Notamacropus eugenii: one gene and its partner. The main gene of each other region encodes a partner of the protein of the gene in region 2 in a complex. Links are inferred from orthologs where the notes say so. Each region holds a gene or a part of one and is shown on either strand. Other genes may lie near its edges.

Region 1 (3,916 bases), about 55 Mb from region 2:
AATTGAGGCTTTCCTGACTCCAGGTCCAGTATTCTTATCTAGAACGAAGGGCCAACAGGCTGACTAAAGAATAGTGACCCACCTAGGTGGAAAAAACATGGCAAGTCAAAATTTCAGTACCAATTAACAGCAGGTCAGTTCATCACTGGCCACTGCACTTACTGTCTGGGTGAGACAGGGAGACCTAGTGTTAAAAAAAAAAAAAAAGTCTAATTGTTCACCTTCTGTTTCCTCCCAATTAACATAGGGATGGTTTCAGCACAGTAACTTCCATGACAAGAATAGAGAAAAATACAGTATGGAGGACTATACTAAGGAAAAAAAAGTCTTGTCAATAAGATTTCTACCTTCCAAAAATAAAGGTAGGAATGTTCTTCTCTTCTTAATTTTCTTGAACTCGTTTATGGTATATTCACATAAAAATGTCTTGTTATGAATTTAACCATCTTTGATTCATGTAAGCATTTCAATCTACAAAGTACAAGGAAGATAACTGTAGAAGAAATTACTGTCACATTCTGCCTTACATTACACTTATGTGTGTACACATGGTCCTGTTACTCCTTGGTAAACTTTTTGGCCCAGGCTATCATGGAATCATCCTTGTAGCACCAGCTGCTTGGTTGAGTGCCTCCAACATAATAGATGCTTAAGCAATGATCACCAAATGAGATGTAGGGAGAAACAGCTTATTTAAGTTACAAAACTCCCCAAGGAAAGTCCCTAGCTTCCTTTTTTTTTTTTGTTTTGGTGGAGAATTATACAGTAAATCATAGTTACTTAGCTCTTAGACATCTATTTTTAGCTCCAAATACTTTTTATTGAATCCATATGTTAGGTGATGATGTGCTTAGCACAGTGCCTGATACACAGTAGGTGCTTCATAAATGTTGCCTGATTGATGGATAGGCAAGGCAGCTTGGGTCATTGGAACAGGCACTGTCTCTCAAGTCTGAGGAGCTGTTTTCAACCCCTAACTCTGATGCTCACTCTGGGTATGGTTTCAGACAAGCCAGCTAGCCTCTTTGAACTTCAGTTTCCTCATCGGTAAAATGTGGGGATTGAACTAGATGGCTTACTAGCTCCATTCCAGCTAGAGCTCTATGATCCAATGCTCCAATTCTACCTCTTTATGTTTGGTTTCCAGAAGGCAATTTTCTGTCCTGTTCCTTCAATTCTATCCTATTTTGCTGGTGGAGGACGTAAGAGGGAAGATAGTGGAGGTAGCAGGTACTCCTACTCCAAGCTGCTCTGGATTTGTTTTTGTTTTTGTTTTTTTTTGAGACACAGAGACAAAGAAAAGGACAGTCATACTAAATCACAGAAAGGCACAGAGACATGTACAGAGACACAGACACATGTCAACAGAGACACACAAAGACATATACAGAGAAAACACATAGAAACAAAAAGACACAGCGACATACAGAGATATGTACAAAGACACAGAGGGAGACAGAGTACACAGTGAGTAGTCATGAATTTTTAATTCATAAAGTCAGAGTGACTTGAAACTAGGCTTTTTTGCACTAAGCTCTGGATAGCTTCTTTTTAAATTCTGGAATAAATTCCAAAAGGAGGGAATAAAAGGCTTCTCAGGTGATTAAAAAAAAAAGCACCTGTGACTTTAGGATAACTCAAGTAATGCTCACTTTAGCTCTATCAGGCTGGGGCTCTCCAAGCTAGGATACTCCAAGAGGTTAAGCACCAGTTCAACATTTCCTGGCCACCCTGAAGAGAAAGGGTGAATCACAGACAGACTCCCCCTCCCAGAGCTAGTCCAAGAGAAGCTCTTCTCCCTGACTCCTCCCACCCCTCCCGTACCTACAGAACGGTGTCTCTAGTTTTGCCACCTACCTAATGATAGTTAGAAACTGAGTCATGGTCAGCTCCTGGGGAACGAGGAATTTGGTTTTGTCCAGCGGGGGAAGGTATTTCTCCTTCTGATAACGTTCAACTATCACCTGTTAAAACGTTTAAACATAAATTGAAGCAAAGCCAATTGCTCCCTTCTGAGTGGAACTGAACAAGATCGCTTGCCTGGAATCACTGAGTCCAGGTGGGAGTTAGTGGGAGAGTGTATCACGGGGCCCTGTGGTTGTTCCAATACTTTATTGATCACGGCTCAAGACAGTACCATTATCCCACCCACCTTCTACCACAGGGACCTCCTTACCGGTATCTTGCTTGGGAACTTTTCCCGGATCCCAGCAACTTCCTCTTTTCTGATTGCTGTAATGGCACACGAAGAGTTAATCAAACAAATGAAATGAGGTCTGTATCCATCCTTTCCCCTCGTTCCCCACCTCTCCTCTCCTAGGAGGATCCCCCTTAGTTGTACCTAAGCTTTTCCGTTGCTTGAAAGGTCGAATGGATTGACTTTTCTGCTGAGGTTGCATTTTATTCAACAGGTTTTCTGTGAGGATTGACTTAATGTAAATTTTTAAATTCCCCAGTAATGAAGGGCTGTGCTATTTCTTTTTCTCCAGCTGCTTTCAAACTGTCTGCAAGAGCCTAATGAAGTACCTTATATAGTCCTGGGTGTGACATCATGTTTTCCCCCTCCCCTTTTCCCCCCCACCCCTCACAACCCAAACCCACAGCCTGTGAAGTAGAGGTCAGCCTCACAGATGGGAATGGAAAAGTGGGTCTGTTTTGTTAGTCAGAGCAAGTCCAAAGTTGCTTTGCTCATTATCAGAGAACATTTTCCCCTTTACGGCTAAAGGAATGAAGGCATCCTTATACCACTATCTTCCTACCTAGCCTATTCCATGAAATTCTTCAGAGGTGAAAATTCCTCATACTAAAGCTCTTTGGGTATTTCCGTAACTATGTCCTCTTGGGGGGAGTCCAAGATTGATCTGCATTATACTGAATTCTGACCTAGAATCAAGTGTTACAGCAAAGTTCTATTTTGAATTTGTTCTTGACTTTAGCATATCATTTCCCCCTCATAGAATCCTACTGAGGGATAGATGTCATAAGAGATGGAAGACAAACATTATTCCCAAGATTCCCTATTTTATAGACGAAGAAGCTGAGTTAGTTAGTAGTACCTTTTACTCGTCTCTCAGGTTTCAAACTCAAAAACCACCTTTGACTCCTCTCTCTTCAACACCTGCATCTCATCAGTGGTCATTTCCTACTCCAGGTCTTTTGCATCTCTCTTAATCTTATCCTTCACAGTGTTACCAGCCCAGTTGCATTCTTTGTTACTTTACTGGTGGGAATATTTCAATAACCTCCTAACTGATCCTTCTGCCTTAGTTTTTCCCCTTGCTTTAAATATACAGTTGTTACCTTAATTATGTTATAAAAACATATAAATATCCCATTGTCAAAGTCTTCTTCAAATCATGTTACTCCGTACTCAAAAAATCTTTAATGACTCTCTACTGCTTTTTAACATAAAGTCTAAACTCCTTAGAGGTTCACACTGTACTCTAACCTACCTTACCAGTCTCATGTTAGATTTCTCCTTGTAATTAACTTTATCCTTTAGCCAAACTGACCCACTTGTCACTCCCTTACTAGATCCAGTCCTTTCCTATCTCTTTTCTTATAGCATCCCTTGTGCTTTTAGTTAATTCTTTTTAACTCTACCTGTTGAAATCATTTTCAACCATAAAGGTATAATTCTGGCCTGGGTCCCCCTAAAGCGTTTCCTTATTCTCTGTAGGTGAAAGGGATACCTCTCTTGCTTTACTCTTTTATGCAATCTTTGAATCCTTCCTATGTACTTATCCATATCTATATTTGTAATGTTAGTAGGAAGTATTAGAGATATTTGTATACATATCCCTTCTCTCCTATTAGACTACAACCATCCTGAGAGAAGAAATCATGTCTGATTCATCTTTGCATCATAAGTTACTAACTCAGTGCCCTACAAATTTGTTGTTCAGTCATTTCAGCC
Region 2 (3,916 bases):
AACAGATTCAGTAGTAACTGAAGTGCTGTAAGTAGTGTTGGGGCCTGGAGACAGTGATCTGAAAAAGAAGTCCTAACCAGGAGCAGGGCTAAGTAAGAGGTGGGGAGTCTGGACCAAAAAAAGACCAACCCCCTTTAAACTCCTCTGAAACATTTGGCACTGCTGCTGACTACCCTCTCCTAGATATTCTTTCCTTGAACTTTCTGTTTTCCTATTCTCTCTTGGTTCTTTCCACTGACAGTCTGACAGTTTCAATATATCACACAAATCTGTCTACTGGATTTTTATCGAAGTCAAATCCAGTAAGTGTGGTTGTACATTAAGTTTTTTTTTCTTTATACTCACTTGGTGATCCCTCAGCTCACATGAGTTCAATTATTATCTATATGCAGATAAATACACGCACGCACGCACGCACACACACACACACCCGATAGTCCTAGACCTTCTACTACACCACCTATTAGATATTTTGAACTGGAGCTCAAATTCAACAAGCCCAAAATAGAATTGTTTCTCTTTTCTCTCAAAACGACTTCTTTTCTGAACTGCCCTAATACTGTACAGGGCAATACCATCCTTCATGTCACCCAGGTTTGCAACCTCAATGCCACGCTTTTGTTGTTATTTTTCAGTCTATACAGTTGTGCCTAACTCTTAGTGACCATATTGAGGATTTTCTTGGCAAAGGTACTGGAGTGGTTTGTCATTTCCTTCACCTGCTCATTTTACAGAGGAGGAAACTGAGGCAAACAGGGTTAAGTGACTTGCCCAGGGTCACACAGTCAGGAAGTGTCTGAGGCCAGATCTTCCTGAGTTCAGATGAGTCCTCCTGACTCCAGGATTGGCACTCTATCCACTGGATCACCTAGCTGCCCCAATGTCATGCTAGACTCCCTCCTTCTCACTCACCCTCTTATATCCAATCAACTAACAAAATCTGTTATCTCTATCCACACAGCATCTCAGGCATAAGACACCCCCCTCCTTTTTTCACAAGCACCACACAAGTTCAGCCCTTCATCACCTCTTACTTGAAAAAATATTGCAGTACTTTCTAATGAGTCTCCCTGCTTCACTTCTCTCCCCTCTCCATACTGTTGTTAAAAGTGATTTTTCTAAAGTGCAGGTCTGATCATATAACTGCCCTATCCCAAAGTCCCCAAATTCTTCACTTCTTACGACTTCTAGGATCAAATACAACACCCGATTTGGCATTTAATTCTCTATAACCTGGTCTCTTTTAATCTTCCTATTTTTCTTACGTTAATCATAGCTAGCATTCACATGGGCCACAAGAACCCTATGAGAAAAGGTGCTACTGTCATCCACATTTGACAGATGAGGACACGGAGGTTAACTGACTTGCCCAGAGTTATATGGCAAGCATGAGGCAGGATCTGAACTCCAGATCCAGTCCTATCCACCATGCCACCTAGGTGGCTTTGGTCATTACCTTTACCCCAAAAAGGCGCCCCCCTCCAAACTTGCCTTTTCCTGGAGAGGGCATCACTACATTCCGATCACCCAAGCTCCCAAGCTCGATGTCATCCTCTCCTCCTCCCCTGTCCCACATGTCCAATCCATCAGCTGCCCCACTCCACCAAGCCCACAGTCCAAGCCGAAGGGCCCGTCTCTGTGCCTTCTCACCTCAGCCTCCTGGAACTCCTCAAGTTGCCCCTGCACGGGGGCTTCCCAGCCCAGTCCTGTCCTGTCCTGCCCAGCCCAGCCCAGCCCCAGCCCCCCGAAGCAGGCGCCTCTGCGTCCATCTCCCCGTTAGAACGCGAACTCCTCCAGAGGAAGGCCGGCCTCTGCGTGCCCCCTCCCCCCACGGTACCCCGGCGCTTAGCGCTTAATAAATGCTTGGCGATGGAGTGATCTGAATGGGAGAGTGGAGAACCGTGTGTGGCGGGTCAGGTTCGGAGGCTGAAACGGGGGGGTCTGACGGGTCGGGCAGAAAGCCTCGAGGGGACGCATTAGCGGGAAGAGTTGGGGGGGGGCTGAAGCAGGGGAAGGAGGAAGACGTGGGAAAGGGGGAGCCGAGGGCTTAAGAGAGCTGAAGGGAGGGATCGCGGTGAGGAGGTGGTGATGGGCTAGGGGGCAGGGAGGCCGGTCCAGGGTGGGAAATCTGGGGGAGGGGGCGTGGTGGGGACGAGCGTCAGGTGGGGGCAAGGGCACGGGCGTGCGGGGACGGCCCGGGGGGTCCTGGAGGAGGGTCCGGGAGGGGGGCGAGAGGGGCAAGCGGGATGGGGGGTCTGGGACACGGACCTTCTCTGGGACCCGGTCTGAGTTCCCTCCATCCCCGACCGCTGCCTCACGGGGACCCCAGACTCACCTCAGGGTAGACGAAGAGCACTAGAACTGCCTCCAGACTCTACCCTTGCGCCTCTGACCGGAAGCTGCGGCCTCCCGGGCAGAGAAAACAGGAAGCTGCTCCGGCCGCTGATGACGCCATCACGTCAGCCTGGAGTGAGCCCCGCCCCCTGTCCCGTGTAGCCAATCCCCGGCCTCGAGGTCCCGTGGGGGTGGGGCTTGTGGCTCGGGAGACCGCACGTGGAGGTGGCACACTCGGGTCGGGACTGCGGCTAGGGGCCGGTTATTACGCTAACCATTTGTCAGCCCCTGGGCAGGGAGACCCTGCGGAAAGGGCTCGTCTGGCGCACTCCTGCGGACTGGCTCGGCCCAGCGGCCGCTTGGAGCCGAAAGTCCCCCAGCCTCTGTTCCCGACCCTCTTTTAGGACCTCAGTTTCCTTGTGTTCAGATGACGGGGCTGGACCCACCAACCAACCTTAACTGATGTAACGCCTTAGAGAAGCAGCCCGGTGCGGTGGCTGGGAGTGCCGGCCTCAACGCTAGGAAAGGCCTGGGTTCGAGTCCCACCTGTGACACGTCCTGACAGGGTGACCCTGGAGAAGACGCTTAATAACTCACTGTGTGTGTGTGTGTGTGTGTGTGTGTGTGAATGGATAGAGAGGGACTAGATCTTTGCGATTTCATTGGTACAGGGAATATATATATATGTGTACACATATGTGTGTGTATATATATGTGTGTGTGTGTATATATATATATATATACCAAGGGTCAAGACAACAAGCATTTATTAAGCGCCTACTGTATGCCAAGCACTGTGTGAGACAAAGAAAAGCAAAATAAAACCAAAAACAGACTCACTCTCCCGAGTCAAATGGGAGAGAGGACAAACAGCTTACAAAGAAAATACAGGACAAAGTAGAGATAATCTTATTAAAGAAGGAGCTTTTAAAGGTTCTCTTTTCTTGTTTTGCAGTTTAAAAAGCCCAGCCCTTGCAACCATCATAGTCAAGTAAAACAAATGGACTCCTTTGGCAGCCTGGCGTAGACTTTGGAACTCTTCTCAGAATGTTTTTAAATGCATAAAATAAAATATACAGGCATAGAAAGGAAACTAGTGTTGAAATCAAAATATTTTTCAAAAGCAAGTTCATGGACCCCCAAGTTAAGAACCCTTGATGTATGTTGATTAAGTTGCCGAGATGGTGCTGTCCAGCATCAGTTGAGAGAGTTTGCTCTTGTTGGAGTTCCCTGTACCAATGAAATAGCAAAGATCTAGTCCCTCTCTTTATCCTTAACAATTTACAAGCATCCATTAACAATGTTGCGATCCCCATTTTAAGTGACTTGCCCAAGGTCACACATTTTTTAAGTCCAAGTGATCAGGTGAGCCCGAATCTTTTTTTATTTTTAATTAAGTGCTCTTTTTACACTACTGAGAGAAATGATAACTAAATAACCAATTATTGGAGAGATGCAGGGTTTTTTTTCCTTCCTATTTCCTCATTCTCTACTAGGTCAAATCCTTGCCTTGCCTTTCCACATAGGGTGTCATACATATCCTTACCTGCTGGTGCTTGTGCAAAGGAATATAAATTTTGAT

Evidence for each region.
Region 1: the proteins of PLEKHM1 (region 2) and MAP1LC3C are in contact, whole or in part, in a crystal structure (PDB 5DPW), measured with the Homo sapiens proteins. The link is inferred for Notamacropus eugenii from reciprocal best matches to the Homo sapiens genes PLEKHM1 and MAP1LC3C. Residues at the interface, in NP_055613.1 of Homo sapiens: Glu632, Asp633, Glu634, Trp635, Val636, Asn637, Val638, Gln639, Tyr640; in NP_001004343.1 of Homo sapiens: Phe13, Arg16, Lys17, Glu25, Ile29, Phe33, Lys36, Pro38, Asp54, Lys55, Thr56, Lys57, Phe58, Leu59, Val60, Pro61, Glu63, Leu64, Ile72, Arg76, Phe114.

The regions. Positions count from the first base shown.
Region 1 is NC_092873.1:402,776,052-402,779,967, forward strand, and holds the start of MAP1LC3C (microtubule-associated protein 1 light chain 3 gamma), read right to left. Parts: upstream 2,563-3,916; 5' UTR 2,400-2,562; coding exon 2,342-2,399; intron 2,233-2,341; coding exon 2,177-2,232; intron 1,965-2,176; coding exon 1,858-1,964; intron 1-1,857.
Region 2 is NC_092873.1:348,256,855-348,260,770, reverse strand, and holds the start of PLEKHM1 (pleckstrin homology domain-containing family M member 1), read right to left. Parts: upstream 2,425-3,916; 5' UTR 2,336-2,424; intron 1-2,335. UniProt on the Homo sapiens protein: Acts as a multivalent adapter protein that regulates Rab7-dependent and HOPS complex-dependent fusion events in the endolysosomal system and couples autophagic and the endocytic trafficking pathways.